Coturnix japonica: one gene and its partner. The protein of the gene in region 2 purifies or fractionates together with the protein of the main gene of each other region. This does not show direct contact. Links are inferred from orthologs where the notes say so. Each region holds a gene or a part of one and is shown on either strand. Other genes may lie near its edges.

What was found.
Region 1: the proteins of PLA2G4A (region 2) and S100A10 purify together in Homo sapiens (affinity purification with western blotting; 3 studies listed by BioGRID). This does not show direct contact. The link is inferred for Coturnix japonica from reciprocal best matches to the Homo sapiens genes PLA2G4A and S100A10.

Annotation. Positions count from the first base shown.
Region 1 is NC_029540.1:2,467,058-2,471,595, forward strand, and holds S100A10 (protein S100-A10), read right to left. Parts: upstream 2,815-4,538; 5' UTR 2,691-2,814; intron 875-2,690; 5' UTR 818-874; coding exon 686-817; intron 499-685; coding exon 337-498; 3' UTR 299-336; downstream 1-298. UniProt on the Homo sapiens protein: Because S100A10 induces the dimerization of ANXA2/p36, it may function as a regulator of protein phosphorylation in that the ANXA2 monomer is the preferred target (in vitro) of tyrosine-specific kinase.
Region 2 is NC_029523.1:8,858,248-8,862,062, forward strand, and holds part of PLA2G4A (cytosolic phospholipase A2), read right to left. Parts: intron 2,036-3,815; coding exon 1,793-2,035; intron 1-1,792. UniProt on the Homo sapiens protein: Has primarily calcium-dependent phospholipase and lysophospholipase activities, with a major role in membrane lipid remodeling and biosynthesis of lipid mediators of the inflammatory response.

The DNA of each region.
Region 1 (4,538 bases), on a different chromosome or scaffold from region 2:
TGGGGTTGGGAACCCCACAGCACAGGGGGTTTGGGGATGAGAACCCCATGGACATGGGGACTCAGGGCTGATTATGGGGGATATGGGGATAGGAACCCCACAGCGAAGGGGGTTTGGGGATAGGAACCCCACAGCAATGGGACTCAGTGCTGATTATGGGGATATGGGGATGGGAACCCCACAGCGATGGGGATCTGTGCCTGGGATTCCCATGGCGATGGGGACCCGGTGCTGACGGGGATGCAGGGATGGGAACCCCCCAGTGATGACCCACCCCAAGGCAGAGGCCACAGCAGGGTCATACAAAACACTTTATTGGGGCGGCGGGGCCGTCTCTCACTTCCTCCCCTTCTGCTTCATGTGCACCACGAAGTAGTCGTTGCAGGCGATGGTCAGTCCAGCCACCAGTGAGAAGAAGCTCTGGAATCCCACTTTGCCATCCCGGCACTGGTCCAGGTCCTTCATGATCTTATCCAGAGCCATGGGGTCACGCTGGTTCTGGGGGCAGAAGCGGGTCAGCACCTCATAGTGTGGTAGGTGCTGTGACCCCACTGTGCCCCATTCCCCTCCTCCAGGTTATAGAACCCTGGGGTAGGTGTGACCCTGCTCTGTTCCCCACCGCCTCAAGGTATCCAGCTCTTATAGGGCTGTGGGGTAAGTGTGACCCCACTGTCCAACCTCTCACCTCCAGGAATCCGGGGAACTCCTTCTCCATCAGGGCACGCAGGTCCTCCTTGCTCAGGTAGTTCTTGTCACCCGCATATTTGTGGAAGGTGAACATCAGCGTCTCCATGGCGTGCTCCATTTGGGATGGCATGGTGGCTGCTGTGGGGTCTGTGGGGTCAGCAGGGTCCTGTGAGGGTCTCAGTGGGGTCTGTGGGGTCAGAAGGATACAGTGGGGTCTAAGGTGTGGGATCAGCAGAGTTGGAAGGGTCCAGTTGGGTCTCACTGGGGTCTGCGTGGTTTAGTAGAGTCTAAAGGGGCTGGAAGGGATCAGGAGGGTCTGCAGGTCTGCATGGGGAGAAGCAGGGTCAGAAGGGATTTGTGGGGTTCCATGGAGCTTCAGAGGGTCTCTGTGGGGCGTGTCAGGCATCGTGGGGTGTGTGGGGCTCCATAGGGTGTGTGGGGCTCCACAGGGGTGTGTGGGGCTCCATAGGGTGTGTGGGGCTCCACAGGGGTGTGTGGGGCTCTATAGGGTATGTGGGGCTCCATAGGGTGTGTGGGGCTCCATAGGGGTGTGTGGGGCTCCATAGGGGTGTGTGGGGCTCTATAGGGTGTGTGGGGCTCCATAGGGGTGTGTGGGGCTCCATAGGGGTGTATGAGGCTCCATAGGGGTGTATGAGGCTCCATAGGGCGTGTGGGGCTCCATAAGGGTGTATGGGGCTCTATAGGGTGTGTGGGGCTCCGTAGGGCTCTATAGGGGTATATGGGGCTCTATAGGGTGTGTGGGGCTCCATAGGGGAGTGTGGGGCTCTATAGGGAGTGTGGGGCTCCACAGGGGTGTGTGGGGCTCCACAGGATGTGTGGGGCTCCATAGGGGCGTGTGGGGCTCCATAGGGGAGTGTGGGGCTCCATAGGGGAGTGTGGGGCTCCACAGGGGTGTGTGGGGCTCCATAGGGTGTGTGGGGCTCCATAGGGGCGTGTGGGGCTCCATAGGGTGTGTGGGGCTCCATAGGGTGTGTGGGGCTCCGTGCCCTCCGTCCCATCGTGGTGACTCAGCTCCGGGCAACGGCCGCGAGGCGGGGCCGGGTGTGATGTGCTGCGGTGTCCCTCCTCTGAACCCCCCCCTCCAACACACACACCCCGCCCCGGTCTTCCCTATGGGACACCCTCGGGACCCCCCCGCCCTGGGCACACTGAGTCACGGCGCCTCCTCCCAGGGTGGGGCCCCTCCTGGATTCCCTACAATCGTGGATGGGGGGGGCACATCCCAAAGCTGCTCCCCCCCCCCCCCACTCCATTGCAGGAATGGAGACTCCACCCTGGGGGTGAGGCGTTGGGGTGTCCCTCCGGCTCAGCTTTAATGCTTTGGGGAGGGGGGGGACACACAGTTTGGTTTTGGGGACCACTCCTCTATACCTGCAAAGGGGGAAGAGGAAAGGGGGAAAAGGAAGGAGGGGGGGGTCCCACCCCAAGTGGAAAATAATGGCAGAGTCCCAACCTTTGCATTAAACTCTCCCCTGTTCCAACAGCCCCCAAATAAATAAGTAAATAAATAGAAATAAAGCTGCAGCATCTCAAGGGGGGGTGGGGGTGGATCCTAAAGTTTATGGGGTGATGGGATAGTGTATGGGAGGGGGGGGGGAAAGCAAATCTTATGGGGTGATGTGCGGGTGGAAAGCCCTCAAAGTTTATGGAGTGAAGGGGGAGGGAATGAGGGGGACCCCGAGCTTTGTGGGGTGATATGGGGTGAGGGGAAGAGCCGGGACCTCCTAAGAGGGGGGGGTGCAGGATGGGACCCCCCCCCTCCAGATGGAGGTTATGATGGAGCAGGGTTACTGCTATGGAGGGGGTGGGACGGGGGTATCCTCTATGAATAGGGCTTCTCTCTAAGGGTGTAGGGAGGTCCTCTATATAAAGGGTCCTCACCCCATTGCGGGTCAATGCCTGGAGGAGCTGGGTTCCAAGGGACCCAAATGAGGCGGGGGTCCTATGGAGAGGTCCTATGGAGGGGGGGGGTCGGTACTCACCGCACGGCGCAGACCGGGGCACTGCGGGGCGGTGGCACCGCCCGGGATAGGCACGGAGGGGGCGGGACCGCCCCGGGGGGGGGACCCGGGGGGGGCCTGGGGCTGACTCAGTCGCTCCCGCCCGCAGCGCTCAGCCTTAACCCCTTCCTGCCCGGCCACTATCAGCCCCCCCCGGCCACTATGTGTCACCTGAACGCGTGTCCCACCTGGTGGCTCCTGGGGAGGGGAGCACCGCTGGGGAGGGGGCGCCTGGGGACGAGGCCGCCTTTGGGTACAGGCCCGTCCATCCCTAAGATCAGGGCCGTTCTTAGGGACCTGGCTCAGGGATGTGGCCCTAACCCCGGGCACGGGGCTGCACTTGGGGACAGGGCCACCAAGGAGCTGTGGGCACTGAGAGCTGTGAGAAACAGCTTTGGGGACAGGAACGTACTGAGGGACCGACGTGGGTTTCTTTTGGGGACACGGCCATTACTTGTAGGGACAGGGCTGCGCTTGGAGTCACGGCTGTGTATGGGGACATGGAGGACAGGAGCACATCTGGGGCCATGATCACCTATAGGGCCAGCATCACCTATAGGGACAGGATCACCTATAGGGCCAGCATCACCCATAGGGACAGGATCACCTGCAGGGCCAGGATCACACTTGTAAGGACAGGATCACCTGTAGGGCCAGGATCACCTGCAGGGACAGGATCACATCTGTAGGACCAGAATCACCTATAGGGCCAACATCACCTGTAGGGCCAGGATCACCTGTAGGGCCAGGATCACATCTGTAGGGCCAGGATCCCCTCTAGGGACAGGATCACCTGCAGGGCCAGGATCGCATCTGTAGGGCCAACATCACCTGTAGGGCCAGGATCCCCTCTAGGGCCAGGATCATATCTGTAGGACCAGGATCACCTATAGGGCCAACATCATCTGTAGGGCCAGGATCCCCTCTAGGGCCAGGATCACCTGCAGGGCCAGGATCATATCTGTAGGGCCAGGATCCCATCTGCAGGGCCAGGATCCCATCTGCAGGGCCAGGATCACACCTGTAAGGACAGGATCCCCTCTAGGGCCAGGATCACATCTATAGGGCCAGGATCACATCTGTAGGGCCAGGATCACACCTGTAAGGCCAGGATCACCTGCAGGGACAGAGCCATGCAGGGGGACAGGGCTGCACATGGGGCGATGGCTCTCATTGGGGCAGGGGCCAGTGACCCCCTGAGAGCAGCCCCGATGCCTTTGGGGCTGAATTCACCCCCATGATACTGCAGGTGCCCTCCATCACCTCTATCTGCACCCAGTATCTGGCAGCACCCAGCAGGCGCTGTGCCACCACCTGCCCACGCAGACACGGCTCAATTAGCGCAGCTCATTACTGAAGGGCTGCTCTAATCCCCCCCCCAATAAAAAACGCCCTGAAGTGAAATGGGACCTGAAATGAAATGGGACCTTTATGGGGCTCTCCCGGTTCTCAGCCCCCTCCCCCCCAGGACCACCCTTACCCCAAATGACCCCCACTCCCCACATCCCAACCGCACACCCCAAAGGCCGCCCCAAAAGCTGACCCTCTCCCCCCCATTACCCCCGCCATCCCCTTCCATCTCCTCGCTGCCCCCTCTCTGTTCCCCTGTCCCCACTCAAGATGGCGGCGCCTCCTCACACCCCCTCCCGCCCTCACCCAACATGGCGGCAGCTCGCCATGCTCTGAAATAGCGATGAAGCCAACGCCCCTCGCTCCGGAAGTGCTCGCCCGCTTGCCCGTATCCAACATGGCTCCGCACAGCCCGTCGGTCCCTATGGGCGTGAAGGCAGAGAGGAGAAGCGTGGACCGGAAGTGGGCGGGGCTTGAGGA
Region 2 (3,815 bases):
AATCTATTTCCTCTAGATAGAAAATGGGCTGAAGTGACTGTTATAATGTGGGTCGTTTGACAGTGCTGTGTAGTTTGTACCACAAAAACTCTGCACTGTATCTTGACTGTGACTTAACTTTTCTATAGAGAAAACCACATTTATAATGCAATGCTCTGTTGTCTACTAAGGAAGAAAAAAAGTGCACCAGAGACTAAAGAATACTCAGAAATTCAGAGGCTTTCACTGTTTAGAGTGTAATTAACACTGCCTATAGGAAGTCTTCAAAATGCTAATCAAATGTGATACCTAATTCTCTGCACCTACCGTCCTATGCACCACGTATTTCATGCAGGGGAGTGGGGAAAGATGCTACACAACTTCTGCAAATCAATTTTTTCTTACATTCTTGTTTTCCACCAGCATGCTTGCTTCCTGCTTACGAAAAGATGAAACTGGGCAGGGAGGACACTCATGAGGTTTAACAAGAGCAAGTGTAGAGTCTTGCACCAGGGGAGGAATAACCACATACATCAGTACAGGTTGGGTGCCAATCTGCTGGAAAGGAGCTCTGTGGAGAAGGGCCTGGGTGCTCTGGTAGACAAAAGGTTGGCCAATGAGCCAGTAGTGTGCCCTGCTGGCCAAGTAAGCCAATGATATCCTGCAGTGTATTAAAAAGTGTGTGACCAGCAGCTTGAGGGAGGTGATCCTCCCAGTCTGCTCTGTCCTGACGATGCCATATTTAGACTACTGCATTCAGTTCTGGGCGCCATGTTCAAAATATACAGGGATCTCCTAGAAGGAGTCCAGTGGAGGGCCACAAAGACGATGAAGGGCCTGGAGCATCTCCTGTGTGAGGAAATTCTGAGAGACCACTGTCTGTTTAGCATGGGGAAAAGAAGATTGGGGGTGGATCAGATGAATGTTAATAAATATCTAAAGGGAGGTGGGAGACAAATGGATGAGGCCAGGCTCTTCTCAGTGGTGTGTAGTAACAGGGCAAGGAATAATGGCCTAAGCCTTGAACTTGAAAGTTCTGTACTAACATGCAGACAAACTTCTTTGCAGTGACAAAGCACTGAAACAGGCTGCTCAGAGAGGTTGTGGAGTCCTTCTATGAAGATATTCAAGCCCACTCTGGATGCTGACCTGTACCACCTATTGTAGGGTGACTACTTTAGCAAGCGACTTGGACTCAGTGATCTCTTGGGGTCCCTTCCAATCTCTGTTGTTCTTTGAAATGCAGACAGGTATGACAAATCAGTCACACTGGGAGGAATGTGGAGTCAGGAAAGCAAGGATGTACAAATAAGAAGTGCACTGCCTCCACAGGATTGTCAGAGGAAGACAAAGGTGTCAGAGAAGCCACAGAAAAGCACTGTAGAAAGATAAGGTCTTACTTCTATCTAAAGGCTTAACCGGTGAAAAGAACATAGACCATTCCTTAGAGCAGCCCAAATGAGTGAGAAGCAGCCTTAATGAAGGGTGCCGTACACAAAAGCAGCTTGATCAACTCGGTCAGCATCTCCTTGAAAACAAAGAGCTGAAATGCCAGCAGTTGTGCTATAGAGCTTGTCAGGGGATTCAGGAAGTAGGTGACAGGCAGAAATCGTTGCGCAGTGCTGTTTGTGACACCCTGTCATCTGACAACCTTCAGCACTGGTCGGTACTCATGACTGCTTATAGAGAAATGTTGTCCCACCTTTGTTCAAGGGCAGCTGTAAGCCTTGCAGTTTGAGTAAATGTTACCACACTGAGGAAATCACAGTTTAACCAATGAATATGCAGTAACACAGGCTTTCTGCAAACTAACCTGCCACAGCTGCATCTAGTTCGTCTTCCTCCACAGATTCCTGAGTCATAAGGTCTGCCAGAGGAGACAGTGGGTAACAGCTGTTGAGGTTCAATCCCAGCATGAAGTTGTGCACTTTCCCAGCACGCCCTTCCCTGGTATTGAAAAGGGCACTATCACCCACCAAAGCCATCAGCATTCGCTGCACCCAGCTTTCTTGGCTGCTGTTCTGATACTCTTCATTTGCCTCTGAATTTTCAGTGCCTGTAAAGGACAAAGAAAAGAAATCAGTGGTGATATAATTAATGTGTGAAGTTCTAAACCAAAATTTCTGCATCTTTTAAAATAAGGGACCGATTAAAACTAGGCCATTGCCTCCTTTCAAAGAGCCATGGATTGAATGAAGGAGCTCTGCTGCAACCACTTTATGGAGATAATGGATAGAAATCATGCTCTCACCTTCACAAGTCAGCAAATGTTCTCATTTGCACTACAGTGTGGATATGTCCAACAGGAAAACATGCTGGGAATATTAGATGATGTGAGCTGTATTTTAGCTAGTCTGGATGGCCAAAGCAATTGAAAACATGACTTTACCTGTCCTGGACTCAGGCGACAAACTTGAGTCACCAATACATGTATACTGTGGACTCAGATTGGTTTGGATGTATATTGACAACCTCCTTCATCCTTTGCTCACTGCTAGAAATCAAGCTTTCCTTAAGGAAACAAAGCTGGGCCTCTGAATCTTCATAAAATCTTTGTATGGTTCTTCTTAGCACATCCCTTTACTGTGTCCTTGGAAAATAACACTCTCAGGTAGAGATACAATATTTATGATGGCTTTGGGTGGCCTCTGCTCAAAAAGAAGTAATTTCTGTTTCATTTTTATTGCAGACAATCACAGACTTAGATGTCAGTGAATATGGGAGTGTGCATAAAACTGTAGACATTAAATTAAAATTCTGTGATATCTGCATAAATGAGAATGCTATCACACAGAAGTTCTAAAATATCTGAAAATATAAATTCACTAAACTACACTCAATAACCAATATTTAATTTTAATTAAGTAGTACAATCTTTGTCCAAACTCTGATATCTACATCTAGACGTTATAAACGCTAAAATGACTTGGACTGGTGTGACCTGACACTTAAAACCTGCCATAACTCAGCTTTTCGATTGCTTTATACATGGAGATAACTCAGGCTCAGGCTCTTTATACAAGTAGAAAGAAAACAAACATAAAACACCACAGAGTTCTGACGTCCAATATCCATCGACAGATATCCTATAGAAGATAACCAGGTGCACAGAGAACAGATCTATAGGTTTCCTCCACTTTGGCTACAAACTATGAAAGAAATGTAGTGTTTCTTGCTGGCTTAAACAGAGCTTCTAGTACTTAACAGGAAATCTGTAGTATAAAAAGTGGCATCACACGCTCCCTGTTATTTTACACATAAGGGGAAATGAAGAAGCAATCATTCAGCTCAGCTAGTGACCCAATCAAAGATTGGGTTTTCTTTTCTTCCTGCAGACTTTAAAATTACAAATGAGCACAGAGAGCCACATTCCCATCCTTGCTTAAGTTGTTAAAAAATAATTCAATTTTTCAGATTAAAAATCACTATTATCCCTAGAAGTGTCTTCATGAACAGAAAATGTTATTAGGATAAGACCAGTACCCAGACTAAAATCTCAGACATCCGCAGGTGGTTCAGGTTCCTGAAATTTTCAGTAGGATCTTTTTTACCACATGTGGCTGTGCTTGTTCTGGGAAACTGGATTTGGGCACTGCTTAAAGCACTACGCCAGCCACTAGGAATTTCCTGTGCCAGATATTGTTTGTACAGGTGCTGGAAGATATCTGTGAATACTGGAAACACAAAGTAAAACATTCTCAAGTAAATATTTGATAAGGAACCCTTCATAACAATGGGTAGTTCTTGTTTGCTATGCTGTTAACAATTCAAGCATGCCTCTGAGCTCAGCAGCTTGCTGAACTTCAGGAGATCACTGGCTCAGAAAGTCTGATTTT